Macaca fascicularis: one gene and its partners. The protein of the gene in region 5 purifies or fractionates together with the protein of the main gene of each other region. This does not show direct contact. Links are inferred from orthologs where the notes say so. Each region holds a gene or a part of one and is shown on either strand. Other genes may lie near its edges. The genes, in order: BAG2, DNAJB6, DNAJA2, XRCC1, SOX2, SUPT16H and ILF2.

Region 1 (3,950 bases), on a different chromosome or scaffold from region 5:
AATACAGAAGACAAAATGCAGTCTAAAAAAAGGGCTAGTGTACTGATAAATTCCATTAGAGATAAATGGAAATCCTTTAACAGTTTGTAGAACTGCTGCCAAACATTTTAATCATGTAGATCAGTTCATACTCCAGGTCATGAAGTATGAAATTTCTTCCACAATTGACAGGATGATGTGGTTAGGGAACATTACGTGCACACTTCTAAGTACAAACGGTAAGGTTTTATTCTACCCAGTTACACTACTTTATTAGTTAACATAAAATCAAACTATTAGAGCAAAATTACATATGAGTTTCATGTTTTCATTTAAAAATCGATCTTGTACGCATGATTCTAGTTTTTAATAGTGTAGTGTTCTATGCCATTGCCCATGTGGTTTCAAAAAAACACTTTAATAGGATCAATGTTAGCATTTTTCTCTATTTTTGCTTACCTTAGGAAATCCTTCCTTTTCAGCTAGTATTACTTTTTTAAAAAGAAAAAAAAGGCCTACAAAAGTCTAGAATTACTAAAAAAAGTCCTTGAAATGAACAGCCACATATTAATCACTTTTCTCCTCAGCTCAAATGTTAATTAAGCAAGTTGTAATTTAATCACTGATGTGCAGTAATCAGAATTCATTTTACATTAATCAAACATTAGAATATAATAATATTCAAAACCTGAGGCTTTCTTTTTAAGAGGAGCACTTCAGAGGGCTTTTGTACCTACCACATGTGAGGCATTAATTCAAGTTTGAGGACAATGACTCAGCTTGAAGGAAGGCGGGGTGGAGTAACATCCTACCCATTCCTTTAGGAAAAAATCTTTTCTTTCTAACTAGGGGAGAGCGAGTGAAGTGGTTGAGAACATGCCCTCAACGTTCTGAAGACATGGAGAGAGGTGTGTTACTTGTTATGCGGCTCCCTAAAAAGAAACATCAGTTAGAGGGACTTCCAGTAACTGAGGCCACCAATTTCTACTTGCGCTTTACTTTTTCTGGGAGTGGAACGGGTCAGGTTTGCTAGTATTGTGAAAATCCATGAGGAAGCATTATTTCTCTCTTCCACTTGCCTCATTCTGAGTGGAACCCCAGAACCTCGTGTAGGGCTTAGGTTTCTCTGCTGCCATCCAAGAAATTATTTTGAGCGGAGAATCTCTCACTCTCTGGCTCTTTTCTCCCAATAGTAACAATAATAATGCCTTACTTGTTAAAAGAGATGCCGTGGTTTTGAAGTATTTTCTCGGCAAACGGACACTTCATATTTGGGTGTATTAATGGAGGGAGATAAAACACACATGCAGTGTTTCCTGAACTTTTTGGCTCACATGCTTCTTTGCTCATGCACAACCTAGAGAAAACTATGGAACCAACTCCTGTGTACAGTTTCAGGGAATTCCAGGTGCCTAACAAGGTTTTCTTTTAACTACAGTTGCTCACAAAATTTACACAGTAACTTGAGACAAACGTTCACAGGAAGTAGATAAAACTTTTCAATATACCGTTAAAGTCTTTCCAAAAATCTATTAACATTATATTGTTTAGAAATTCTGTACAAGTCTACTACTATATTACCTAATAAAATCTTAAGCAAGAAAAAGGGAAAACTATCTTTTCATACTTTCAGGCCAGTGACTAACACTTCGTCTTCTATGTAGGGAGGTGCCCAATAAATACTGAGAGACAAACGGAACCGCGGAATCCCGTCCGCCAGGTCAGGGGATAAAGAGAAGCCGCAACGTCTTTACTGCACGAAGCACCCGGTAACTTACTGCCTACCCCTCACTCCTCTCTAATCTTTGGTCTCAATGGATTGCTGGGTTGGTTTTGTTTTATTCATTTTTGCTCTTTTAAGTGTTCTGAAGCAAGGAAACTTAACTTCACGTGGAGGGCCACTGTAAACTGCTGCCTCCCTTAAAAATGTATGACGGGAGAAGAGTAAGTTAAAAACATTTGGGGCCACACAGAAGGTTCTAGAAGCTCTGCAGACCCACGCTGCCACAGTCGTTAATCGCATGGAATCTCACCTCTTAACTTTTATCTCCTCTTTTTCCTGCTCCCCAACACCTAGGTAAGTTAATCAAAGTGTGGCCACCATCACGCCCTCACAGGTTTAGCTTACAATGCGTTTTCTCTTGGACAAGGGGAGAAAATCCAAGAAATAAACAAAACTACACCACGTCCATCCACAACAAATCTCAACAAGCAACTTCTGTTGCCGCAGCCTCACTGTGCCCCAGGGCCCGGCCCGCCACACGCGGCCTCCGTCCGCTAACCGCCCGCGCGGCGAGCAGAACGCCCGAGACCGCCCGCCCGCCCGCGGCTCACCTGAGCTCCAGCTGGTCCAGGCTCTCCAGCAGGCGGCTGGAGCGGTCGGCCATGGAGGAGGAGCGGCAGAAGCGCCCCTCGTTGGCTTTAGCGTTGATCTTCGCCTGAGCCATCTAAGCCTCCGACGCGGGGCAGCCGAGAGGTCACCGGCCCCTCCGGCGGCGGCGAGTGGAGCGCTCCTCGGGCTGCAGGCGTCGCCGTCACCACGCGGGCGCCCGCCCTCCCTCTGACGCCCGCGGGGGCAACCCGGGAGGACTCGCCGACACCGCGGCTGCCGCGTGGCCAAAGAAGGGCAGGCGCGGCGCCCGCGGGGCTCGGGGACGCCGGGCCTGGGAGGGGGCTGCAGCGGCTGGAATTAAGAGGTTCGCGGGCCACAGGGGCTCGAGGATGGGCCGATAGGGGCTCGGGCCTGGGGAGCGCAAGTCTCTGAGGCACGGGGAGGGGCAGACGCAGAGACTGAGCGCCTAATGTGGCCAGCGGATCGTCTGCTCCTCGGACCCAGGAACTACCCGAAGCCCGCCCGGACCCACAGACCACCCCCAGCTCCGCCCCGCGTGGCCCCGCCTCTTCGTGCAGCCTAAAAGTAACCAACTTCCCCCACACGAAGGTTCCTATCGGTCGATGGGTTGTGGGTGTATTGCTCAGTGATGGCTTCGTTTAGTTTCTTCCAGCACCCATAATTCAAAGCAAGAACAACGACATTAAGGGTCCTGTGATATAGGGAGAAAAGGTCCTTTTGTGAAACAGAAGGCAGTTAAGTGCAGCTCCTAGGCAGCCCACACTCACCTGACCTTCCTGTTACCACTTTATACTAAGATGAGAGTAACGAATGCCCGGACAACGCTGAAGCTATTAAGTAAAAAAGAAAAAGCTACTCCATCTTTCCCTATCTAGGTAGATGTAGGAAACAAAGTGAATTTACTTCATTTTTATCATTCTAAGGATTACAGGTGTGAACCACCACGCCCGGCTTAATGAAGGAGTTTTTAATTTTTGCTATTAAAATTATTCCTGTTGAGTGAGCCGAGATCTCGCCACTGCACTCCAGCCTGGGCAACAGAACGATACCTTGTCTAAATAAATAAATAAATATTCTGAGTGAAATAATTGGCATTAAGAAGTCCTCAACTTTTAATTTTTTTTTTTTTTTTTTTTTTTTGAGACCGAGTCTCGCTCTGTGGCCCAGGCTGGAGTGCAGTGGCCGGATCTCAGCTCACTGCAAGCTCCGCCTCCCGGGTTCACGCCATTCTCCTGCCTCAGCCTCACAAGTAGCTGGGACTACAGGCACCCGCCACCACGCCCGGGTAGTTTTTTGTATTTTTTAGTAGAGACGGGGTTTCACCGTGTTAGCCAGGATGGTCTCGATCTCCTGACCTCGTGATCCACCCGTCTCGGCCTCCCAAAGTGCTGGGATTACAGGCTTGAGCCACCGCGCCAGGCCAACTTTTAATGTTAACAAAAAGATGCAGTAGGCCTCTAGGTCAGGCACCAGCTGTCGGTAAAAGATGGAATAGAGCTGAGGATACAAAGATTAGTCTACTTAAAAAGTTAGGTTTTGGTCCCCTCTCCTGATAGCTCTATGCCTCTCACTGCAAGGATGTTAATGTACACGGCACAGAAAATGATAGATAATAATA
Region 2 (4,246 bases), on a different chromosome or scaffold from region 5:
AAGCATTGTTCAGAAGGTGGCTGAGCAGGCCCCCGGAATTCAGCGTCAGCATGCCACAGGATCTGAAGTTCAGGAAAGGTGTGACAAAAAGGAATTTTTCTTTTTCTTTTTTTTTTTTTGAGAGAGTTTCGCTCTTGTTGCCCAGGCTGGAGTGCAATGGCATGATCTCGGCTCACTGCAACCGCCTCCTCCTGGGTTCAAGCGATTCTTTTGCCTCAGCCTCCGAAGTAGATGGGATTACAGGAATGCGCCACCACGCCTGGCTAACTTTTTTTTTGCATTTTTAGTAGAGACGAGGTTTCTCCTTGTGTCAGGCTGGTCTTGAACTCCCAACCTCAGGTAACCCACCTGCCTTGGCCTCCCAAAGTGTTGGGATTACAGGCGTGAGCCACCACACCAGGTTGGCATTTTTATTTCTTAAAGGAAAGGATAAGGTGGGCTACGAAGACAACACAGTAGCAAACATCTGGCTGAGTGCTGGAGACAAGACAGTGGGAGATCCAGGCCAGGCTCCATGCACGGAACTGCTTGTTGACCTCTTTAGGCTTTGGATCTACAGGACCTTTCGTTACTGGGAATGAAAGCCTGTCTGACTGCGCGGGGTCTGAGGTTCCCTGCTCCCGCTAGTCACCATCTGCACGCGTGTGGTATTAATCTCCAGGGTTAGAACCAGAACCCCTGCGGACGCGGGAAAGCCTCGCGAGTCTGGGGATGACCTCAAGTCCAGCGATCAAAGTGCGGCCCGTTTTCAGGAAACAACTGCCACGATTCAATCTAAAAAGCTTCTTCGGTATTTTCGGCCACAGTTTGCTTCCATTTCCTTCCATCATTATTCCCTGGCGAAGTCTCCACGCACTCCCGTTCGCCGGGGAACTTCGGGTATCAGGCCTTCCCTAAATTGACGAGCGGGGGCCGGTGCCTTCGCTTGCCTTCCCTGGCCGCCGCTTGATTTCTTTTTCCTCCCCTTCGAGGGCTTCTCCGCCCGCGCCCGCGCCCCAGCTTTCGTCCCGCTGTGGGGAGATGCCACCCAGCTCCACGGGAGGACCGGGGGGCGAGAGGCGGCGGACGCGCTCCGGAGGCCGCCGGCCGAAGATGAAGGGCGCGACGACATCGCGGTTTCCAGAATGGGCTCCTTCTCGCCCAGAACAATCAGTGCCGTTTGGAATCTTCTCGGCCTTCTCTGCGCCGTCCGCGCCTCTGGGCTTCCCGGTACCGTGGACCCGGCCCCGAGCTCCGCCCTCTCGCCCTGGGCTTCCCCTCCCCTCCCCTTCGCCCCCAGTCTCCCGGCCTCTTCGGGGCGGCGGAAGAGCCGAGAACCTTCGCGAAGGCGGGGCGGGCGCCTCTGAGGCTGGGCCCGCGTTTTGGGCAGTGGAAACTGCACATGCGCGGCGTCAGGGCCGGGCGGAAGTTAACGTCGCTGTGCCGCCGCCGCGTGACGCATTTCCTGTTTGTTGTCGGAGAAAGGAGAGAAAGGAAAGCGCGAGGAGACGCCGCCACCACCAGCGCAGCAGTGCAGGAGCTGTGAGGAGATTCGGGCAGTCACCCCGCCTCCCCTGCGTCCCGCCACCAGCCGCCTCCGTCCTCGGTGAGAGTCTGTTTCGAGGGCCGGGGGAGGTCGCCTAGGGCCCTGCGCGCGCCCGGCAGACGGCGGACCTAACCCGGCTCCTGGCAACAGCGTGGGGGGTGACCGGGGTCGCCGGTCGGGGCAGTACTGGAAGGGGCGGGGGCCGTGGCCGGGGTTGCGGGGCGAAAGGTGGGCGGCGTCCTCTGGGTCTGGGGCCGAGGCCCGGGCCGGGGCTGGGGGCTGGGGCCGCCCGGCCGCGTCCTCCCCGCCCGGCGTCCTTGCCGGAACGCGGCCCGGCCTCCGCGGCGGCGGTTGGGGGTGGGGCCCGGCCTGGGAGCGGCCGGCTGGGGCTCGGCTGGGGCTCGGCGGGGCCGGCAGCGTGGGAGGCGTGGAGCGCCTTCTTTCTAAGGCTCCTTCCCTCGAGTCTGAAACCAGAAACGCGAGTGGCTTGCGGAGCGGGAATGCCGCTGCCGTGCCGCCAAGTTCGGAGGGAGAAGAAGCAGGTGGTGGACCGCAGAGCCCTGTTTCTAGAACTCCGGACGGATTGTTGAGAAGTTTGTGGAAGAGCAGGCTGCGTTTCTTATTCAGAACGTCTGTCTGCTTTGCTTTGCGTTAAAGAATCTGCACCGTAGTTGATGCAACTGAAGTTTATGTAACAAGTTTATATTAACTCTTACCCAACTGAGGAAGGTCAGTGACACACGAAGTATAAACTGCAAACCGTATGTTGGCTCGAGAAAGGTTTTGGCGCTAGCGCATTTTTTTAAAAGGATGGGTTTTCTAGTCAGACGTAAACTTCTGTACTAATTTTCTCACGTAAACGAGGCAGGAAGTAGCCCGAGTAGAACGATCGTGCCACCACCGAAGGGATGCCGCCTGCGAGCTCAGAGGCTTCAGCCTGTTTGGGAAGAGTAGGCTGAGCGGAGCTCTTTGTAATTTTTAACGTTTTTGTTAATATGAGTTGCGAATTTAGTAAGGATTTGTGGCTACAAGTTAAGCCAAATTATTGATTTAGTAGAAAAGTTAAGACTAAAGACCGAAGAAAGGAAAGTAAACAGACTTTAACTACTAAATCTTGGTTGCTGCTGCTTCGTGTTTAACCGCACTTTTCCAAATAATGTTGCATATCAGAACGATTCATGGTTTCTGAAAGGAATTATATGCATCCACCTTACTACTCCGCCTGTCCATCCGTCATGTTTTCTTTTTGGGTTTACTCCAAACTTTTTTTTTTTTTTTTGAGACGAAGTCTGTTCTGTTGCCCAGGCCAGGGTGCAGTGGCGCGATCTCCACTCAGTGCAACCTCCAGCTCCCAGGTTTAAACGATTCTCCTGCTTCAGCCTCCTGAGTAGCTGGGATTACGGCTGCTCGCCACCACGCCCGACTAATTTTTGTATTTTTAGTAGAGACGGGGTTTCACCGTGTCGGCCAGGCTTGTCTCGAACTTCTGACCTAAAGTGATCCGCCTGCCTCGGCCTCCCAAAGTGCTGGGATTACAGGCGTGAGCCACCGCGCCCGGCCGACTGCAGACTTGTTTCCACTTCTGAGAGCCTTAAGCTCCTTTGAAGTTGGTTCTTTCACATTTCTTTCTGCCTTCTGTGATAAAGGGGTGAATATTTTTTATGCACACTTTAATGAGCTGTGGGTGTTTATGGATTATTCTGGATGTGAAATTTGGGAAGTAAGTTGCCTTAAATTGGTAGATGTGGAGACTTGACAGGAAGTGGGAGAACAAAAGGATTGAGAACCTTTGAAAAATGCCTAACTAGGCTTAGTCTGTACTGTGGAACATGAGAAAGTTGGGAATTTCAGAGGGCAAGGCTCTTGAAGAATTTGAGATGAGTTCAACACTCTCTTCAAAACATCAGTGTTTTAAAACTTATTTTCTTCTGGATATGAAAGTGTTAGGTTTGGGAAGTAATTCTGGCTGTAGGACAGTTTTTCCGGAACACTAGGTGGTGAGTATTGTTGAATATTGTAAAGACTGAAATAAGGGTATGGTATTACAGTGTGATACCTGTAACTAAGTGGCATACATTAGCTTTCATTTTTAAGCAAGTCTGTAATTCCTTCTATTAACTGATTTGGACAGTTTCAAACGAATAGTGGTACCCATCACCTTCATCAGTTTTCCACCTAGGTAACCCAAATCCAGGTCTGAGGTGGGGGTGGGATGGTATGTTTGAACTTTTTTTTTTTTTTTTTTTGAGACGGAGTGTTGCTCTGTTGCCCAGGCTGTAATGCAGTGGCGCGATCTCTGCAAGTTCACGCCATTCTCCTGTCCCAGCCTTCCGAGTAGATGGGATTACAGGCGCCCGCCCCCATACCCGGCTGATTTTTTTGTAGTTTTTAGTAGAGATGGGGTTTCACCATGTTAGCCGGGATGGTCTTGATCTCCTGACCTCATGATCCACCCGACTCGGCCTCCCAAAGTGCTGGGATTACAGGCGTGAGCCACCGCGGCTGGCCCTTTTTTTTATTTTTTATTTTTGTTTTTTTAAGATGGAGTTTCACTGTTGCCCGTGATGGAGTACAATGGCGCCATCTTGGCTCACTGCAACTTCGCCTCCCAGGTTCAAGCGAATCTCCTGCCTCAGCCTCCGGAGTAGCTGGGATTACAGGCATGCGCCACCACACCCAGCTAATTTTTTTGTGTTTTTATTAGAGATGGGGGTTTCACCA
Region 3 (4,089 bases), on a different chromosome or scaffold from region 5:
CACCAGTGTCCAGTCAAGGAAGACTTCACAGAGGGAGCAGGATTTCAGATGGGATTTGAGGAAAAGGGTTTAAGGACTATCAATGACTTATCACTGATTACTCTTAGGGTTTTCGGGCTAAATTTCAGAGACCTTGTCATGGCATTCAGGCCCTCCACAACTAGGTCAAGGGGAACGCCAAGGAAGAAACATTATCCTGAGTAAGATGCTTATACTGAAGTCTTTGCTATCAGTTCAGGTTCCAAGGGATCATAAAATCTTACTTTTCTGTCTCCGTAAACCGTAAATGGGTTGAAGGCAGGCACTTTTGTAACACTCCTCTCTCCGGACCAGGCCTCTGTACATCATAGCACGTGGTAGATGCACAGCATTCACTTTCTGAGCGAAACTAAAACGAATGTAAATCAAGTCACCTGGTGGCCAGAGTTGCCTTACACCATCTAAACCTCTGGTATTAGCTAATTTTAAAGCTATCAAGAGGCTTAAACACGTGGTCCAGAAGCAACACGTGGACCTTGGTTTGGACTGGAATGCCACAAACCAATTGTAAAAGGCCATGCGATCATTTGAAAAACCTAAATATAGACTGGGAATTAGATTAAGGAATTGTTAATTTCATTAGATGAGATTACGTCGTCATGCTTTTAAAAGTTGTCTTAAATATATACACTCAGGGTATTTATGAATGAAACGGTTTCCCTGAAAACACCAGAGATGTATAGGGGAGCGAATGAAACAAAATTGGTAAAATGTAGCTAACTGCACTACGGGGTGTAATAGACTGCTTTTGTTGAATGTTTCATTATTCCCATAACATAAAACACAACATACACACACACACGCTCCCCAGTTTTTTTCATCGTAAGCCCCGAGGGAGCCAGACCCAGAGGGTCCACCGACGTCCTGGATTCTGAGAACGATTTCTGCGCGCCAGGCTGGCCTCCTGCAGGAGCCGGGGCCCACTTCCTTTCCCGACCGACTCGAAGCTAACGAAGCTGCCGCGTAGGCCTGTTAATCCCCTCAGTACCCAGTGCGAGGTTAAACACGCGACGTCGCAACCATGGCCTTTGAGAGGAAGCTGAATTCCTGGGGTGCGCCGTGTAGAGTTCATTTCCTACGTCGGCCCAGCACAGCAGCCTGGACCCAGAGGAGATCAGAGAACCAGCCACACTCTTCACCACCCCGACCCAGTGGCCGCGCCTCGGGCGCTCGGGGGCGGGCTCCGCACTGCGACGTCACGGCGCACCGTGCGCCCGGTCAAAGTTCAGCCCCGCCCCCGCTTCCCCCTCGCTGTCTCCCTCGGCCTGATCCGCTGCCGACGCCGCTTGTGGGCCCGGCTCCTCTGTCTGCTCCGCCACCTTCTTCCTGAGCACTGCCCGGCCGGCCGCCATGGCTAACGTGGCTGACACGAAGCTGTACGACATCCTGGGCGTCCCGCCCGGCGCCAGCGAGAACGAGCTGAAGAAGGTATCCGGGAGCGGGCCGGGCGGGCGGGTGTGAGGGGCGCGGGGCCTGCGCGGCCGGGGATGTCTTCTTCAGCCAGGCCGCGCTACTGGGCGGCCCGCGAGCCGGCGCCGGCCGTGACGGGCCCGGGCTGGGGATCGGCGGCGGCAGCGGCGGGACCGGCCTCGCGGCGAGCCGCGCCCTCCGGCCTCGGCTGACCTTGGGCCGCCGGCCCCGCCCGCCCGCAGATGCAGCAAATAAAACTCACTCCTGCGCAAACACGACGGTAGCCCTTCCTCCCTCCTCGGGCGAGCGCCGGTGGCCGGTCTCCCCCAGGAGGCAGCAGCTCGCCCGGCTCTCCGCGTCGAGGTCACCACCCCGGAAAAACAGGTTGGACCGAGGTGCTCAGCGCATCCCGGCCCCGGGAGAGAAGCTGTCCACCCCGCGGCCGTCGGCCCCGGGTCTGGTGCTCCGCGGGGAAAAACGGCGGGGAGGTCCGGCGGGGAGGTCGAGGCCGCCCCCACAGAGCGCCTCGGGCAGATGGGGTTGTTTCCTGGGATCCCCGGCTGCGGGCTGCGGGAGCTCCTCCCTCTCTTCCTCCCTCGCCCATTGACCCGGAGGTAGCGTGGGTCTGTGTTTGGATGCATTGTTCTGTGGTCAGGTAATGCTAATGTCCTGTACCTGCTTAGGAATAAGCCGTGGTCCCAGCCAAACGCCTGAGTGTGCAATAAACATGAATAGAAGGCCTTATTATCGCTGTTTGCAATGCTGCGATATCTTTCATCTCAGGATTTCAAAGCACACGAGGCGTTTAAGCCCCACAGCATCCTCACCGGGCTAAGAGCATCCGGATTTGTAAGCCGAGAAAAATGAGAATGCTCCTTAGGCAGTGAGAAGAGTGCAGTGGACTTCCTGTTACCTTACCGGAAATGCTAGTCTGTATTATATAATTCACGAGCCTCCGTAAATGAAGATTTAAGTGCTGTATGACCCAAACACCTCGTTGAGAGTGTGCAACTTCACTACCACCGAAGTTGCCACCACGACCCCAGTTAACCACCACGTGCAAATAAAACACCTAAAGACACTACCTGGGACCACCTTGACTTTTTCATGATGTTACAGTTAGAAGGAAGGCCTGAGCCATCGGGAGCAGGAATTGTGACTTTAGCTTGATTTATAGTAATGTTTTGCAGTCCGTAAAGCTTGACAGTCATTTATCTCAAATTTATTAGAGTGGTCTTGGTCTGGTTACTTGGCCATCAGACACTTGACGATAGGGAAAATATGGATAATGTTTGAACGTTTTCCCTATGGTATTGCTTCATTGTTTTATCTGGTTTTCACGTCACTGTAATTATTTTCAAGTATAGCTACAGTCTACTTGGTTATATTACATTAGTAAACAGTATCGTGAGGAAGTGCCAAAGAATACGAATAGAAAATATTTTTGGAAGGTTATAACTCTAGAACATTACTTTTCAGAAAAGTGGATGTTAAGTTATTACAAAACTTTAAACTGGTGTTTAGTTATAACCTTCTTTGTTTTTGTCCATTTTCAAAGGCATACAGAAAGTTAGCCAAGGAATATCATCCTGATAAGAATCCAAATGCAGGAGACAAAGTAAGTTATTTGCGATTTTTTTATTCCGGGGGTTTTAGTTTTAACTTAAATTGCCCTCCTTGAAAAAAAGGAATGTTGCAGGAAAAAAATCCAACTATGCCCACACAGCCACATTTTCATAATGTCAAAGAGTATTTTAGTTTTAGAATAAGAGTACTACCATTCTGAGGAGTGGTGGGTGGTAAATAGAAGCAGAATCAAGTCAAAGGTAACTTGTCCCTTTTATTAGAATTAAATGGATTCTGGATTCCTATAGCCTCTCCCCACTCTTCTATTTGAAAATGTAATTATTTTTATTTTTACCTTTTCTTTATAGTTTAAAGAAATAAGTTTTGCATATGAAGTACTATCAAATCCTGAGAAGCGTGAGTTATATGACAGATACGGAGAGCAAGGTCTTCGGGAAGGCAGCGGCGGAGGTGGTGGCATGGATGATATTTTCTCTCACATTTTTGGTGGGGGATTGTTCGGCTTCATGGGCAATCAGAGTCGAAGTCGAAATGGCAGAAGAAGAGGAGAGGACATGATGCATCCACTCAAGTGAATATCTTGTTTTGTTGTGTTAAAAAATTAGGTACTTTTTGTCAAGTGGAATATTGACTCAGTAGAAGAAAAAAAACTCATAGAATGTTCTGTCCTTCATTAGAAAAACTTCCATGTGCCTTGTCTTCTTTTGGTGACTAAATAGAATTTGATTATCTGACTGTTTCTATTTTGCTGTAGCTCTTAAAAGGATGGTAGATATTTTTTAATGAGAGGAAGGTGGTTTTATATGGTTCTGAGGCTGCTTGTTATTATAGGACTTAAAATTTCAAGTGTAAAGATCGTTTTCTTTTTTCTTTTCTTTCTTTTTTTGAGACTGAGTTTCGCTTTTGTTGCCCATGCTGGAGTGCAATGGCACAATCTCAGCTCACTGCAACCTCCGCCTCCTGGGTTCAAGCGATTCTCCTGTCTTCAGCCTCCCGAGTAGCTGGAATTACAGATGTGGCACCATGCCCAGCTAATTTTGTATTTTTAGTAGA
Region 4 (3,933 bases), on a different chromosome or scaffold from region 5:
CAGGTGCTAAACATTGACATCAATTGGGATGGACTAGATGATGTTACAGTAACAAAGGAGTCCCTAATCTCAGTGGTTTGAAACCACAAAGTTGTATTAACTTACACTGTAATAATGCTGTGTAACAAATCATCCTAAAACTGAGACTTTTTTTTTTTTTTTTTTGAGACAGAGTCTCACTCTGTCTCCCAGGCTGGAGTGCAGTGAAACCATCACAGTTCACTGCAGCCTCAACCTTATGGGCTCAATTGATCCTCCCCACTCAGCCTCCCTAGTAGCTGGGACTACAGGCATGCACCACCACGCCCAGCTATTTCTCGTATTTTTTTGTAGAGATAGGGTTTCCCCATGTTACCCAGGCTGGACTCAAACTCCTGGGTTCAAGCGATCCACCCACCTCAACCTCCCAACATGAAAACTGAGACTTACACCAACAAGCATTCTTCTAAGAGTTCATGGGATGGCTGCTTTGGCTGCAGTTTGGAAGGATTCAGGTCTCTTCCATGAGATTTCAGTTTTCTGGGATTAGCAGTAACCTGACAAATGTTCTCATGGCAGATCATGGGAGCACAAAACCCAAGTGCATTTAAGGCCCTTGCTGAAGTTAGATGTGCTGAAATTCCATTAAGTAAATCATATGGTCAAACCCATCAGTGGAGCAGGGAAATATACTCCCCCTCCAGCGGGAGGGAGAGGAGTGGATATTTGCTGAATGACTGCCCATTCTCAAAAGGTTAATTTTTCCTTCACCCTAGCACTATCCAGAGGGTGTTCTGCTCCTTATAGTCATAAACCAGCCCCCAGGCCAGGAACGATGGCTCACACCTGTCATCCCAGCACTTTGGGAGGCTGAAGCAGGAGAACTGCTTGAGTCCAGGAGTTTGAGACCAGCCTGGAAACATGGTAGAAACCCTGTCTCTAAAAAAAAAAAAAAAAAAAAAACTAGCCAGGCATGTTGGTGCACACCTGCAGTACCAGCTACTCAGGAGGCTGAGGCAGGAGGATCGCTTGAGCCCAGGAGGTAGAGGCTGCAGTGAACCAAGCCAAGATCATGCCACTGCACTATAGCCTGGGAACAGAGTGAGACTCTGTCTCAATAGATAAATAAAAGACTGACTGTCAGGCAAGTTGTATAACTTATTTGGGCCTCAGTTTCCTCATCTGTAAAAGTGGGGATAACAGAGCTTGCCTCTTGGGGTTTATGAGGACTCAATGAGCTAATCTATGTGAGTGAGGTGTGTAGAGCAGTGCCTGGCAGGTAATGTTGAATAATGTTAGCTCTCATTACTATTCTTTTATTTTTTATATTTTGGGGGTCTCGCTGTGGTGCCCAGGCTGGAGTGCAGTGGCGCAATCTCAGCTCACTACTGCCTCCATCTCCTGGGCTCAAGCAATTCTCTCACCTCAGACTCCCCAGTAGCTGGGATTACAGGTGCACACCACCATGCTCAGCTAATTTATAAAATTTTGGTAGAGATGACATCTCACTATATTGCCCAGGCTGGTCTCAAACTCCTGGGCTCATGCGATCCTCCAGCTTCGGCCTCCCAAAGTGCTGGGATTACAGGTGTGAACCACCACACCTGGCCTATTATTCTTTAAAAAAAAAAAAAAAAAAAGTATTTATTTTAATAAAAATAGAGACAGGGTCTTGATATGTTGCCCAGGCTGGTCTGGAACTCCTGAGCTCAAGCAATCCTCCCATCTCAGCCTCTGAAAGTGCTGGGATTACAGGCATGAGCCACAGCATCCAGCCAGTTTCCCCTTCTTTAAAGTGGAGTTGATTGGCTTAGATGACCTTCCTGGACACCTTCCAGCCCCGAGCCCACTGGCTGCAGGAGGCAGGGTACATGGCAATGATTCATTTTGTTCCAGCTGAGGAAAGTGAAACCCAGAAAGTAGAAGCCACCAGCCCAGGACCACACACTGATTCCTATGGTCATCCTGGACCTCATCCTTGGGTCTCCTTTGCTCTCTGCTGAGGGGCACAGGGATTATGCCGCCCATTTTCCAAGTAAGGAAGCTGAGGCCCAGCAAAGAAAGTGACTCAACCCATTGCCAGTTGGTTCAGGAGCAGAATCTGGTACCCCGGACTCCAGACTCCTAGTGAGGAGGAGGTGGGGTGGCAGGATCACCTGTAGAACCACAGAGATGGTCTTCTCGCCTGCCTTGGCTGCCCGCCATTTTCGGTAAGTGTCTGCCTTGAGAAGATTTTCTGCACAGTGGGTCTGGAAACAACAGTGGGAGAGGAGAATTAGAGCACAGAAATGACAGCTAGGCCTCCAGCTCTCAGTTGATTCCTTCGAGTCCTCCCAAGGCCTCTACGATCCTCCAGACTTAAGCTCTCCCGTTAATCCCCCCACACTCTGCCTGGAGTTTCCCTTACAACACTTTCCCGTGGAAGTTCACCTATGGGCTCTCCAAGAAAGCTTTCCTTATTCCTCCTTTTCTCTCCGGAAGTTCGTTCCCTAGACGCCGGAACGTCCCTAATTCAACATCTCTCCACAATTCACTTTTAGTCTCCTGGAAATCCCCCCATGACTCTCCTTAGACTTCCAAGAAGAACCCCAAGAGTTCTTTTAAGAGTTGTCCTCATTAATTCCCTCACGTCTTCCAACCTCCCCCATGCAGGTCCCTCACCGAGTCCTGGCTGCTGCAGGACACGACATGGCGGAGGCGGATCTCCGGCATGTCAACGTCGTGGGCTTCGCCTGGCCAGAAGGATGAGGTAGGGTCTGGGGTCCGAGAGGCACGGAGGGTGGGAGGGGGTGGGGTGCGCCCTGCGCGGGCTGAAGTGCGCAAGCGCGCGAGGCTTGGGCCTTTCAAACCCCGGCGCGCCCGCGCTGGCGTCGACACTGCGCAAGCCCAGTCGCGCCTCTCCACAGCGGGAAGAGCGCTGCGTTCCTTAGCAACGAGCGTTTCCTCCAGCCCCGCCTCCCTCTGCCACACACCCCCGCTCTAGCCCCGCCTCCCGATGACGTCCGCACCTTGCTTTCTAGGCGCCTAGCAACAGAAGCGACCTCCGGGATTGGTGTCTAGAAGAAATTCGCCATTCTCATTGGACGATGCAGTCACCGCTCACACTGGAGCCTAGAAAGCAAATCTTTTTGCTGTATTATTATTATTTATTTTATTATTTTTTAAAATTTTTTGTTGAGACAGGGTCTTGCTCTCTCACCCAGGATGGAGTGCAGTGGCAGGATCTCGGCTTTCTGCAACCTCTGTCTCCTGGGGCCAAGGGATCCCCCCACTTCAGCCTCCTAAGTAGCTGGGATTACAGGCACTCGCCACCACATTCGGCTGATTTTTGTATTTTTTGTGGAAACACGGGGTGAGGGGGCGGCGGGTCTTGCTATCTTGCCCAGACTGGTCTCGAACTCCTGAGCTCAAGCGATCCACCTGCCTCGGCCTCTCAAAGTGCTGGAACTACAGGCGTGAGCCACCGCACTGGGCTAGGACAGCAAATCTGAGTGAATTTTCGTAGTTTCCTAGGAAACCTGGATTCTACGCAACAGGATGTCCTCAAACGGCTCAGGAGGCTGCACTCTTCACTCTGTCCCCCTGCCCCACCCCACCCCCACACACACACATACACATACACACACGCGCGCGCGCGAAAAAAAAAATATCAGATCTGTCTCAGCCTTATGCCTGAGGCCAAAAGAGAAGGGTTCAGCGTCCTAAATATAACGCAAAGTATGTGCCCAACCCCCACCCCCCCATACACACACCCCTATCCTGGAGTTTGTCCAAAAAAGCCTCAGTTTCCCAATATGTAGACTGTGGGCATCTGTCTTTTACTACGCCCGCCTATGGCTGCTGACAGGCATCCCCTCTGTTCATTCGGTCCCTTGGAGAGCCAAGGGTGCAGCCCAGGGTGGGGTCGCAGCTGGAGACAGCCCAAACATACAAGGAGTGTGAGCCAAGCACATG
Region 5 (4,105 bases):
ATCTCATCCTCCTCTAACCCGGGCATTGCTGGGCTCCCCCTTCCCCAGTCCCGGCCGCCTTCTCCCAGTGTGCGCTGCCTGCACCTGTGCCTGGAGAGCATCGACCCCGCCTCCCAAGACTTGAGCCCCTTTGCGGCGCAGCCCCAGCCTTGCGCGGCCTGGGCTTTGCAGCCACCACAGTGGAAATCGACGGGGGAAATGCCAGGGCTGGTTCTGCTCGAGTCCTGGGAACTCTGCGTGGGAGGGAGTTTGTGACTGCGGCCCAAAAGCCACCTCCGTACAGTGCCGTGGGATGCCAGGAAGTTGAAATCACCCTCCCCCATCGCCTGCACTTTTGAGCGCCCTTCCGTCTGTCTCTTTCCCCAGCCCCCATTTGAAACCCGCACGACCGAAACCCTTCTTTCAGGGAGGCATGGGATGGGAATGGGGAGTGGGGGGAGACAGTAGGAGCATCCCCTTTGCTACGGTTGAATGAAGACAGTCTAGTGGGAGATGTGGCTGGGGCTAAGAGGAAGAGCTGCAGTTTCCTGGGCCAAAGAGCTGAGTTGGACAGGGAGATGGCAGCTTACCAAGGCCTGCCGGTTCTCAGCTCTAGAGTCGGCCTCATGGTCCGAGCAGGATTTATTTTTAAGAACAGAGCAACGTTACGTGGAAGCAAGGAAGGTTTTGAGGACAGAGGTTTGGGTCTCCTAACTGCTAGTCGGGACTGTGAGAAGGGAGTGAGAGTGTTGGCACCTGTAAGGTAAGAGGGGAGAGCGGAAGAGCGCGGTACGGGAGCGGCACCAGAGGGGCTGGAGTTGGGGGGGGGAGTGCTGTGGATGAGCAGGAGAACAATGACACACCAACTCCTGCACTGGCTGTTTCCAGAAATACGAGTTGGACAGCCGCCCTGAGCCACCCACTGTGCCCTGCCCCACCCCCGCACCTTAGCTGCTTCCCGCGTCCCATCCTCATTTCAGTACCCTGCACCAAAAAGTAAATCAATATTAAGTTTAAAGAAAAAAAAAAACCCCACGTAGTCTTAGTGCTGTTTACCCACTTCCTTCGAAAAGGCGTGTGGTGTGACCTGTTGCTGCGAGAGGGGATACAAAGGTTTCTCAGTGGCTGGCAGGCTGGCTCTGGGAGCCTCCTCCCCCTCCTCGCCTGCCCCTTCCTCCCCCGGCCTCCCCCGCGCGGCCGGCGGCGCGGGAGGCCCCGCCCCCTTTCATGCAAAACCCGGCAGCGAGGCTGGGCTCGAGTGGAGGAGCCGCCGCGCGCTGATTGGTCGCTAGAAACCCATTTATTCCCTGACAGCCCCCGTCACATGGATGGTTGTCTATTAACTTGTTCAAAAAAGTATCAGGAGTTGTCAAGGCAGAGAAGAGAGTGTTTGCAAAAGGGGGAAAGTAGTTTGCTGCCTCTTTAAGACTAGGACTGAGAGAAAGAAGAGGAGAGAGAAAGAAAGGGAGAGAAGTTTGAGCCCCAGGCTTAAGCCTTTCCAAAAAATAATAATAACAATCATCGGCGGCGGCAGGATCGGCCGGAGGAGGAGGGAAGCTCTTTTTTGATCCTGATTCCAGTTTGCCTCTCTCTTTTTTTCCCCCAAATTATTCTTCGCCTGATTTTCCTCGCGGAGCCCTGCGCTCCCGACACCCCCGCCCGCCTCCCCTCCTCCTCTCCCCCCGCCCGCGGGCCCCCAAAGTCCCGGCCGGGCCGAGGGTCGGCGGCCGCCGGCGGGCCGGGCCCGCGCACAGCGCCCGCATGTACAACATGATGGAGACGGAGCTGAAGCCGCCGGGCCCGCAGCAAACTTCGGGGGGCGGCGGCGGCGGCGGCAACTCTACTGCGGCGGCGGCGGGTGGCAACCAGAAGAACAGTCCGGACCGCGTTAAGCGGCCCATGAATGCCTTCATGGTGTGGTCCCGCGGGCAGCGGCGCAAAATGGCCCAGGAGAACCCCAAGATGCACAACTCGGAGATCAGCAAGCGCCTCGGAGCAGAGTGGAAACTTTTGTCGGAGACGGAGAAGCGGCCCTTCATCGACGAGGCTAAGCGGCTGCGAGCGCTGCACATGAAGGAGCACCCGGATTATAAATACCGGCCCCGGCGGAAAACCAAGACGCTCATGAAGAAGGATAAGTACACGCTGCCCGGCGGGCTGCTGGCCCCCGGCGGCAACAGCATGGCGAGCGGGGTCGGGGTGGGCGCCGGCCTGGGCGCGGGCGTGAACCAGCGCATGGACAGTTACGCGCATATGAACGGCTGGAGCAACGGCAGCTACAGCATGATGCAGGACCAGCTGGGCTACCCTCAGCACCCGGGCCTCAACGCGCACGGCGCAGCGCAGATGCAGCCCATGCACCGCTACGACGTGAGCGCACTGCAGTACAACTCCATGACCAGCTCGCAGACCTACATGAACGGCTCGCCCACCTACAGCATGTCCTACTCGCAGCAGGGCACCCCTGGCATGGCTCTTGGTTCCATGGGTTCGGTGGTCAAGTCCGAGGCCAGCTCCAGCCCCCCTGTGGTTACCTCTTCCTCCCACTCCAGGGCGCCCTGCCAGGCCGGGGACCTCCGGGACATGATCAGCATGTATCTCCCCGGCGCCGAGGTGCCGGAACCCGCCGCCCCCAGCAGACTGCACATGTCCCAGCACTACCAGAGCGGCCCGGTGCCCGGCACGGCCATTAACGGCACACTGCCCCTCTCGCACATGTGAGGGCAGGACAGCGAACTGGAGGGGGGAGAAATTTTCAAAGATAAACGAGGGAAATGGGAGGGCTGTAAAAGAGGAGAGTAAGAAACAGCATGGAGAAAACCCGGTACGCTCAAAAAGAAAATGGAAAAAAAATCCCATCACCCACAGCAAATGACAGCTGCAAAAGAGAACACCAATCCCATCCACACTCACGCAAAAACCGCGATGCCGACAAGAAAACTTTTATGAGAGAGATCCTGGACTTCTTTTTGGGGGACTATTTTTGTACAGAGAAAACCAGGGGAGGGTGGGGAGGGCGGGGGAATGGACCTTGTATAGATCTGGAGGAAAGAAAGCTACGAAAAACTTTTTAAAAGTTCTAGTGGTACGGTAGGAGCTTTGCAGGAAGTTTGCAAAAGTCTTTACCAATAATATTTAGAGCTAGTCTCCAAGTGACGAAAAAAATGTTTTAATATTTGCAAGCAACTTTTGTACAGTATTTATCGAGATAAACATGGCAATCAAAATGTCCATTGTTTATAAGCTGAGAATTTGCCAATATTTTTCAAGGAGAGGCTTCTTGCTGAATTTTGATTCTGCAGCTGAAATTTAGGAAAGTTGCAAACGTGGAAAGAAGAAAATTATTCAGATTTGGACATTTTAATTGTTTAAAAATTGTACAAAAGGAAAAAATTAGAATAAGTACTGGCGAACCATCTCTGTGGTCTTGTTTAAAAGGGCAAAAGTTTTAGATTGTACTAAATTTTATAACTCAACTGTTAAAAGCAAAAATGGCCATGCAGGTTGACATCGTTGGTAATTTATAATAGCTTTTGTTCAATCCCAACTTTCCATTTTGTTCAGATAAAAAAAAGAACATGAAATTACTGTGTTTGAAATATTTTCTTATGGTTTGTAATATTTCTGTAAATTTATTGTGATATTTTAAGGTTTTTCCCCCTTTATTTTCCGTAGTTGTATTTTAAAAGATTCGGCTCTGTATTATTTGAATCAGTCTGCCGAGAATCCATGTATATATTTGAACTAATATCATCCTTATAACAGGTACATTTTCAACTTAAGTTTTTACTCCATTATGCACAGTTTGAGATAAATAAATTTTTGAAATATGGACACTGAAATTATTCTTGAGTCTTTCATTTATTTGGATAACACTGTGATTATACATAACTTCTCGGGGAACTATAATACTGTGCTCAGCCAAGAAAGCAAAATACCAAAAACCTTGGTATTACTAGTCCAGCATCATGTGCTAATGTTAACTGCAAAAAAAAAAAAAAAAAAAAAAAAAAAGACTGGATGATTAATAAGTACTGGAAAAACTGAAATTTCTGTCATTTCTAAAATAGAAACTAGAGACATATATTGTAAATCCGCCCCCTCCTTTTCTAAGCAGCATGAATAA
Region 6 (3,500 bases), on a different chromosome or scaffold from region 5:
TTGGGAGGCTGAGGCAGGATTGCTTGAACCTGGGAGTTCGAGGTTGCAGTGAGCTGTGATCACACCACTGTGCTCTGCCCTGGGTAGTAGAGCAAGACCTTGTCTCTTTAAAAATAAAAAGTAGGTGGGGATGGGAGGAGAATTTATTTTTTCCATAGTTTAGAATATTCCTCTACCTGTTATTGGTAAAACATACATGTCTAATTAACAGACCCCTTTTCTTCCCTGTGACACTAACAGAATGAAAGTAATAAGAGTAGCTTTGACAAAATGATTGAAGCCATTAAAGAAAGCAAGAATGGAAAGAAGATTGGAGTGTTCAGCAAAGACAAATTCCCTGGAGAGTTCATGAAGAGCTGGAATGACTGCCTCAACAAAGAAGGCTTTGACAAAGTAAGATACTACTGGAAAGTAGCAAATCAAGAGTTGAGAAGACAGAAATGTGATGGGCTTCCATAACAGATAGTGCAGGACGTTTGTTTTGGGAAACCTGTATGTTTGTTCACATTTTATCCCCTTTGAGCAGTGTGCCAGTTTTACTTTTCAGCCAGTAGATGGGACTTTCAGGAGATAGTCCAGCCACTTTAGAGTTGGAAACAAAATTTCTTTCCCTGCCTTTCTTCCATCTGCCTTTACAAAAACATCTAGAGAGGGCAGTTTACATTTTAAGTAGTACATTAGTTTAACACCTCTTGTACTACACACAGTGACCTGGCAAAGAGCTATTTCAAATGTTTAATTCAGTTCAAGAAGAGAATATTTGAATATTCTACAAACCAGTGATAAATCATTTGCTAAGTAACAGAAATATCACTGATAATATTCAAATTGGAGAGATGCATTATTTTGTAATTCTATATTTGCATATTAGAAACTCTTGTCACTTTGACTGCAGATAGATATCAGTGCAGTTGTGGCATATACCATCGCTGTAAAGGAGGATGGGGAGCTCAACCTAATGAAGAAAGCAGCCAGCATCACTTCTGAAGTCTTCAACAAATTCTTCAAGGAAAGAGTCATGGAAATAGTTGATGCAGATGAGGTAAATGGAGATGAGAGGGTCTTTTTAGTGTTTTAATGAAGCAGTAATAAGTCTATCATGCAAATCTGTTGATGTGTTCTTCCACTTCCTTTGAAATTAAGACTGACACTTAAGTTGGTGGTAATTACGTCATCTCTTTTTCAAAATAATGGTAAGCCTGCATTATGTTTTCTTGAGGTAACCCATTATTTTACTTGAGAATCCTAGGAATAGCTGTAGGTCCTACATACTGTTCTCCAAAATGTGTTTTGCCTGCATACCAATATATTGCCTGGTGCATAAACCATTTCGTAAGACCTTTTTTATATCATCCTTATACAAGGATATATTTTGTCTTCAAATCATAGTGTCCACACACCCCGCTTTGCTACCCTCTAGTAAGTGTTACTTTATTTCTGGATGCTCTTACAGAAAGTTCGACACAGCAAACTGGCTGAGTCTGTGGAAAAGGCCATTGAAGAGAAAAAATACCTTGCTGGGGCAGACCCTTCTACTGTGGAAATGTGTTACCCTCCTATCATTCAGAGTGGTGGCAACTATAATCTCAAGTTCAGTGTGGTGAGGTAAGTATATGAAGACTTCATAATATAGCGCTTTGACTTTAGCCTATTTTTTCTTCTTTTAAAATCTGTACAAATTTGTGGGGTACATTGAAATTTGGCTACAAGTACATAATGTATAGTGTCACCAAGTCATTTTCTTGGGTGTCCATCACGCAGGTGCAGTACATTTTTGTTAAGTAGAGTCACCCTACTCTGCTGTCAAACATTGAATTTATTCCTTCTATCTTACCTTATGTTTGTACCTTGTAATCCATTTCTTTTCATCCTCGCCTGCCCCCCCACACACTTACCCTTTCCAGTCTCTGTTATCTATATTTAAGACTAACTACAACTCACAATTCATAGAGGACTGATGGATAAGTGACTCCTCACAACCCCACAATTAGACTATAATGGATACAATTCAGTATATCTTTTGCATTTTTATAATCCAGTACTCACTTTCTCACTGAATTTTTATCCTAAAAGTTTTGGTCACTGACGTTTACTCTAGAGCCTTTATTAAACTGGTTTGTTTATTTAAAACACAAAAAAAGTTTAGGTCCTTATTCAGCCACAGCTTTAGGATATGGCAGGGAAAAGTAATGATTATTGATACCGTGTCCCATTGATACCAAAGACTTCGCTAGTTTTGGTAATGAAATGTTTTCTTTCTTTCTTGGTCTCTAGTGACAAGAATCATATGCATTTTGGGGCCATCACTTGTGCCATGGGTATTCGCTTCAAGTCTTACTGCTCCAACCTTGTTCGCACTTTGATGGTTGATCCTTCTCAGGAAGTTCAAGAAAATTACAACTTTTTACTCCAGCTTCAAGAGGAGCTGCTGAAGGAATTAAGACATGGTGAGGTGCCTTAGAAAAGGAGGTTTAGAAGTTACGTCACAAAAATGTCATTGGCCAGGAGCTGTGGCTCACACCTGTAATCGCAACATTGGGAGGCCGAGGCAGGAGGATTGCTTGAATCCAGGAGTCCGAGACCATCCTGGGCAACACAATGAGGCCCCCATCTCTTTTTTTTTTTTTTTTTTTTTTTTTTTTTTGAGACGGAGTCTCGCTCTGTCTCCCAGGCTGGAGCGCAGTGGCCGGATCTCAGCTCACTGCAAGCTCCGCCTCCCGGGTTCCCGCCATTCTCCTGCCTCAGCCTCCCGAGTAGCTGGGATTACAGGCGCCGCCACCTCGCCCGGCTAGTTTTTTGTATTTTTTAGTAGAGACGGGGTTTCACTGTGTTAGCCAGGATGGTCTCGAACTCCTGACCTCGTGATCCGCCCGTCTCGGCCTCCCAAAGTGCTGGGATTACAGGCTTGAGCCACCGCGCCCGGCCGAGGCCCCCACCTCTATAAGAAATTAAAAATGAAAAAATTAGTTGGGCATAGTGGTGCACACCTGTGGTCCCAGCTACTCAGGAGACTGAGGTTGGGGAGGATCACTTGAGCCTAAGTGGTCAAGGCTGCGGTGAGTTGTGACTATACCTCGGCAGTGAGCCATGTTTGCGCCACTGCACTTCAGCCTGGGCAATAGAGTTGAGACCTTGTCTCAAAAAAGAAATGTCATTAGTGTTATGTTTATGTCTCTGAGGCTGTCATATTAAAAACAGAATAAGATTTAGCAATGTTGAATCATCCTAGCATGTAGGTCTTGAATCTGCATTTTTTTCAGGTATGAGTGATCATTGTGGTTTACATTGATGTTTATAGAAACCTCTCTGACTTGTTAGGCCCTCTATGTCCAGATCTTCACAAAATACCTTGGCCTTATTACTATTCCTTAGTTATAGAAAGTTCTGAGAACTAGTATCTCTACCAACAGGATATATAATGTTAATCCTACATCAAAACAATACGAAGGATACTGAGCTTCCAGACACCATTCTTCCACATTATCTCTAAGTCGGTCTTA
Region 7 (3,319 bases), on a different chromosome or scaffold from region 5:
CTCTTGCCTGCTTCTAGTGATTTTTAGACAAGTGATTTGCTGATATGAGAAACACGGGGTGGCTTAAAGAATTGCAAAGTTGGTTAGGCGCAGTGGCTCATGCCTGTAATCCCAGCACTTTGGGAGGCTGAGGCAGGCAGATCACCTGAGGTCAGGAGTTGGAGACCATCCTGGCCAACATGGTGAAACCCCGTCTCTACTAAAATACAAAAATTAGTGGGGCATGAGTAGCTGTAATCCCAGCTACTCAGGAGGCTGAGGCAGGAGAATCACTTGAACCCCGGAGGCGGAGGTTGCAGTGAGCTGAGATCGCGCCACTGCACTCCAGCCTAGACTGTAGCAGTGGTAATGAGTAGCTTGTTTAATGAAAATGTTTCATCCTGGCCTATCATGCTTGTCTTTTTAGTGGATATCAAGGTATTGCAGAGTGCCTTAGCAGCCATCCGACATGCCCGCTGGTTCGAGGAAAATGCTTCTCAGTCCACGTGAGTCCCTCCCTGACCATTTGGATTAAGATAAACTTTTTAATTTCAGTGAATAGCAGGATACCCCCATACTTCCTCTGACAGAACTATTTTGCCTGTGACTTTTTTTCTGGATTTTTATTTTTACCTTAAGCAAGTTAAGATTTAGAGAAAGCAGAGAGCGTATAGTTCTGTAAACAGCATAGTCAGCTTCAATTCTACCTTAGGCGTGGAAATACATGATGGTATTGATTTTAATGTTTGGGTCACTATTACTTTCAGAGTTAAAGTTCTCATCAGACTACTGAAGGACTTGAGGATTCGTTTTCCTGGCTTTGAGCCCCTCACACCCTGGATCCTTGACCTACTAGTAAGTAAAGATGGACAATTGGAGTTCCTCCTCATCCTTATTTACTAGTAGTAGTAGTAACTCTGAAATTCACCAGAGTCTGAAATTTGGTGAAGCTTAAAAGAAATTTTATTGGTAGACAAGTAATCCAATAAAAATTCAACATTTACATGACTCAGAGACATTTGTTTAAAAAAAAAGAAAAAATTAAAAGTTTTTTTTTTTTTTTGGTATATTCAATTAAATGAGTAGTTACTGAGTTATAGTGTCCTGTTTTCTTCTCATGACTGCTACCATTTCATCATGGCAGTAGAGAGAAATGAGTGAGCAGCCATTTCAGAATTGCTTCTGAACAACATGAAAATTTTGGCTAGGCTTAGACCTTAATAACCAGTTTTCCTCATGATGATTTAAGGTTTTAGTTTGATGCCTGTAATCCCAGCACTTTGGGAGGCTGAGGCCAGAGGATCACTTGAAGCCAGGAGTTTGAGACCAGCCTGGGCAAAATAGTGAGACTGTCTCTACCAGGAAAAAAAAAAAAAATATATATATATATATCCAGTTGTAGTGGCTTGTACTTACAGTCCTAGCTTCTCAGGAGGCTGAGGCAGGAGGGTTGCTTGAGCCCAGGAGTTTGAGGTTACAGTGAACTATGATTGTGCCACTGCACTCCAGCCTGGGTGACAAAGTGAGGCTACAGTTCTAGTTATCAGAATTGCCATTTTGATGGCACACCTACTGGATTTATTATTTTCCAGGGCCATTATGCTGTGATGAACAACCCCACCAGACAGCCTTTGGCCCTAAACGTTGCATACAGGTACAGCATGCTTCTTTGGGTTTAGGGTTGGTTTTAAGCTATTTTGTGCATTCTTTTAATACCTCATACTTCCCTGTGTTCTAGACGCTGCTTGCAGATTCTGGCTGCAGGACTGTTCCTGCCAGGTTCAGTGGGTATCACTGACCCCTGTGAGAGTGGCAACTTCAGAGTACACACAGTCATGACCCTAGAACAGCAGGTATTGGGACAGATACGAACTGAGTTGTTTTGCCCCATTCTTGAATACTCCTAGTCAGCTGGCGAAGTGGAATATGGTCTTTAGGGGTCAGGAATTGGGGGATTCTGAAATACTTTGTTCCTGAGATTTAAAAAATTGTCTTAATCTCTGTTTTCACAAGGGTATTACTCAAAGTCTTTTGATTTTCCTTGCTAACTTACTCTCACTTTGCTCTCCTTCAGGACATGGTCTGTTACACAGCTCAGACTCTCGTCCGAATCCTCTCACATGGTGGCTTTAGGAAGATCCTTGGCCAGGAGGGTGATGCCAGCTGTGAGTGACTACTGTGGGTCGGGGTTTTGTATTGTAATCTGGTCTACAAAGAAGCTGTACACTATTTAAATGTCTTTAATATTTCCACAGTGTAAATAATGTCTTTTATGCTGGGCTACTTGTCTAAATCACCTTTTTCTCTTTCCTAGATCTTGCTTCTGAAATATCTACCTGGGATGGAGTGATAGTAACACCTTCAGAAAAGGCTTATGAGAAGCCACCAGAGAAGAAGGAAGGAGAGGAAGAAGAGGAGAATACAGAAGAACCACCTCAAGGAGAGGAAGAAGAAAGCATGGAAACTCAGGAGTGATGTTCCCTTCACTCCTTTTCCTACCCAAGGGGGAAGACTGGAGCCTAAGCTCCCCGCTACTGGGCTTTACATGGTGGCAGACATTTCCGTGGGATAGGGAAGATAGCAGGAAGAAAAGTAAACTCCACAGAAGTGTCATTCCACTGGGTTTTGATATTGGCTTTGCTGCCAGTCTCCCATTTGTGACCTATGCCATCCATCTATAATGAAGGAGGATACCAACATTTCTTCCTAATATTCTAGAATCCCCAACTCCTGAAAACCCCTCTCTCAATTAATACTTTGCTGTTGAAATGTTGTGAAATGTTAAGTGTCTGGAATTTTTTTTTTTCTAAGAAAAACTATTAAAGTACTTCCTAGTAGGGCTCTTGGCCTTTTGGTTGGTTTTTTGGGTTTGTTTTTTTGCATGTGGCAACCTTTTTTGCTTCTTTTTGCTTTGTATACTCTTGCGTTGAAAATAGTATTTGAGTCTTTTAATTATAAATACTCAGATCACAATTTGAAGCTGTCTTTGAATTAAAGTACAAACTCCTAGAACCTTTCCATATACCAGAGTAAACTAGAATACCGTTTTAAGTATTTATTGAATAAAATGATTCTATCAATACTGCTACTGTATTGAAGCCAGTGCAATAAAAAACTGGGTGGACAGAGGTCATTCACTTTGACTTTGCCTGCCCTCTCCAAATCCCCAGTGTAAACAGGAAAATGAGAAGTCACAGGTAGAGGACATGCTGCCCAGGCCCATGTAACTAGGCATGTAACAAAGGAAGCCCCTCTGGTTAACTAGGCCTGAAGAAGGTAAGCCTCAAGTATGCAGGTTAAAAAAAAGTAGAGGCCTCTGCTCATTTGTGAAAGGAAGCAA

Evidence for each region.
Region 1: the proteins of SOX2 (region 5) and BAG2 purify together in Homo sapiens (affinity purification with mass spectrometry; 3 studies listed by BioGRID and IntAct, with this or other methods). This does not show direct contact. The link is inferred for Macaca fascicularis from reciprocal best matches to the Homo sapiens genes SOX2 and BAG2.
Region 2: the proteins of SOX2 (region 5) and DNAJB6 purify together in Homo sapiens (affinity purification with mass spectrometry; 3 studies listed by BioGRID and IntAct, with this or other methods). This does not show direct contact. The link is inferred for Macaca fascicularis from reciprocal best matches to the Homo sapiens genes SOX2 and DNAJB6.
Region 3: the proteins of SOX2 (region 5) and DNAJA2 purify together in Homo sapiens (affinity purification with mass spectrometry; 3 studies listed by BioGRID and IntAct, with this or other methods). This does not show direct contact. The link is inferred for Macaca fascicularis from reciprocal best matches to the Homo sapiens genes SOX2 and DNAJA2.
Region 4: the proteins of SOX2 (region 5) and XRCC1 purify together in Homo sapiens (affinity purification with mass spectrometry; 3 studies listed by BioGRID and IntAct, with this or other methods). This does not show direct contact. The link is inferred for Macaca fascicularis from reciprocal best matches to the Homo sapiens genes SOX2 and XRCC1.
Region 6: the proteins of SOX2 (region 5) and SUPT16H purify together in Homo sapiens (affinity purification with mass spectrometry; 3 studies listed by BioGRID and IntAct, with this or other methods). This does not show direct contact. The link is inferred for Macaca fascicularis from reciprocal best matches to the Homo sapiens genes SOX2 and SUPT16H.
Region 7: the proteins of SOX2 (region 5) and ILF2 purify together in Homo sapiens (affinity purification with mass spectrometry; 3 studies listed by BioGRID and IntAct, with this or other methods). This does not show direct contact. The link is inferred for Macaca fascicularis from reciprocal best matches to the Homo sapiens genes SOX2 and ILF2.

What each region holds. Positions count from the first base shown.
Region 1 is NC_088378.1:114,546,289-114,550,238, forward strand, and holds the start of BAG2 (BAG family molecular chaperone regulator 2), read right to left. Parts: upstream 2,801-3,950; 5' UTR 2,427-2,800; coding exon 2,314-2,426; intron 2,264-2,313; exon of another isoform or gene 717-2,263; intron 1-716. UniProt on the Homo sapiens protein: Co-chaperone for HSP70 and HSC70 chaperone proteins. Acts as a nucleotide-exchange factor (NEF) promoting the release of ADP from the HSP70 and HSC70 proteins thereby triggering client/substrate protein release.
Region 2 is NC_088377.1:198,639,904-198,644,149, forward strand, and holds the start of DNAJB6 (dnaJ homolog subfamily B member 6), read left to right. Parts: upstream 1-1,446; 5' UTR 1,447-1,585; intron 1,586-4,246. UniProt on the Homo sapiens protein: Has a stimulatory effect on the ATPase activity of HSP70 in a dose-dependent and time-dependent manner and hence acts as a co-chaperone of HSP70. Plays an indispensable role in the organization of KRT8/KRT18 filaments.
Region 3 is NC_088394.1:42,898,574-42,902,662, reverse strand, and holds the start of DNAJA2 (dnaJ homolog subfamily A member 2), read left to right. Parts: upstream 1-1,289; 5' UTR 1,290-1,389; coding exon 1,390-1,467; intron 1,468-3,007; coding exon 3,008-3,067; intron 3,068-3,383; coding exon 3,384-3,607; intron 3,608-4,089. UniProt on the Homo sapiens protein: Co-chaperone of Hsc70. Stimulates ATP hydrolysis and the folding of unfolded proteins mediated by HSPA1A/B (in vitro).
Region 4 is NC_088393.1:51,608,826-51,612,758, forward strand, and holds the start of XRCC1 (DNA repair protein XRCC1), read right to left. Parts: upstream 2,801-3,933; 5' UTR 2,692-2,800; coding exon 2,641-2,691; intron 2,229-2,640; coding exon 2,136-2,228; intron 1-2,135. UniProt on the Homo sapiens protein: Scaffold protein involved in DNA single-strand break repair by mediating the assembly of DNA break repair protein complexes. Negatively regulates ADP-ribosyltransferase activity of PARP1 during base-excision repair in order to prevent excessive PARP1 activity.
Region 5 is NC_088376.1:93,587,211-93,591,315, forward strand, and holds SOX2 (transcription factor SOX-2), read left to right. Parts: upstream 1-1,305; 5' UTR 1,306-1,740; coding exon 1,741-2,700; 3' UTR 2,701-3,821; downstream 3,822-4,105. UniProt on the Homo sapiens protein: Transcription factor that forms a trimeric complex with OCT4 on DNA and controls the expression of a number of genes involved in embryonic development such as YES1, FGF4, UTF1 and ZFP206. Binds to the proximal enhancer region of NANOG.
Region 6 is NC_088381.1:89,045,704-89,049,203, reverse strand, and holds part of SUPT16H (FACT complex subunit SPT16), read left to right. Parts: intron 1-240; coding exon 241-393; intron 394-895; coding exon 896-1,042; intron 1,043-1,453; coding exon 1,454-1,605; intron 1,606-2,274; coding exon 2,275-2,447; intron 2,448-3,500. UniProt on the Homo sapiens protein: Component of the FACT complex, a general chromatin factor that acts to reorganize nucleosomes. The FACT complex is involved in multiple processes that require DNA as a template such as mRNA elongation, DNA replication and DNA repair.
Region 7 is NC_088375.1:107,508,750-107,512,068, forward strand, and holds the end of ILF2 (interleukin enhancer-binding factor 2), read left to right. Parts: intron 1-406; coding exon 407-485; intron 486-746; coding exon 747-834; intron 835-1,571; coding exon 1,572-1,633; intron 1,634-1,717; coding exon 1,718-1,832; intron 1,833-2,053; coding exon 2,054-2,144; intron 2,145-2,293; coding exon 2,294-2,454; 3' UTR 2,455-2,819; downstream 2,820-3,319. UniProt on the Homo sapiens protein: Chromatin-interacting protein that forms a stable heterodimer with interleukin enhancer-binding factor 3/ILF3 and plays a role in several biological processes including transcription, innate immunity or cell growth.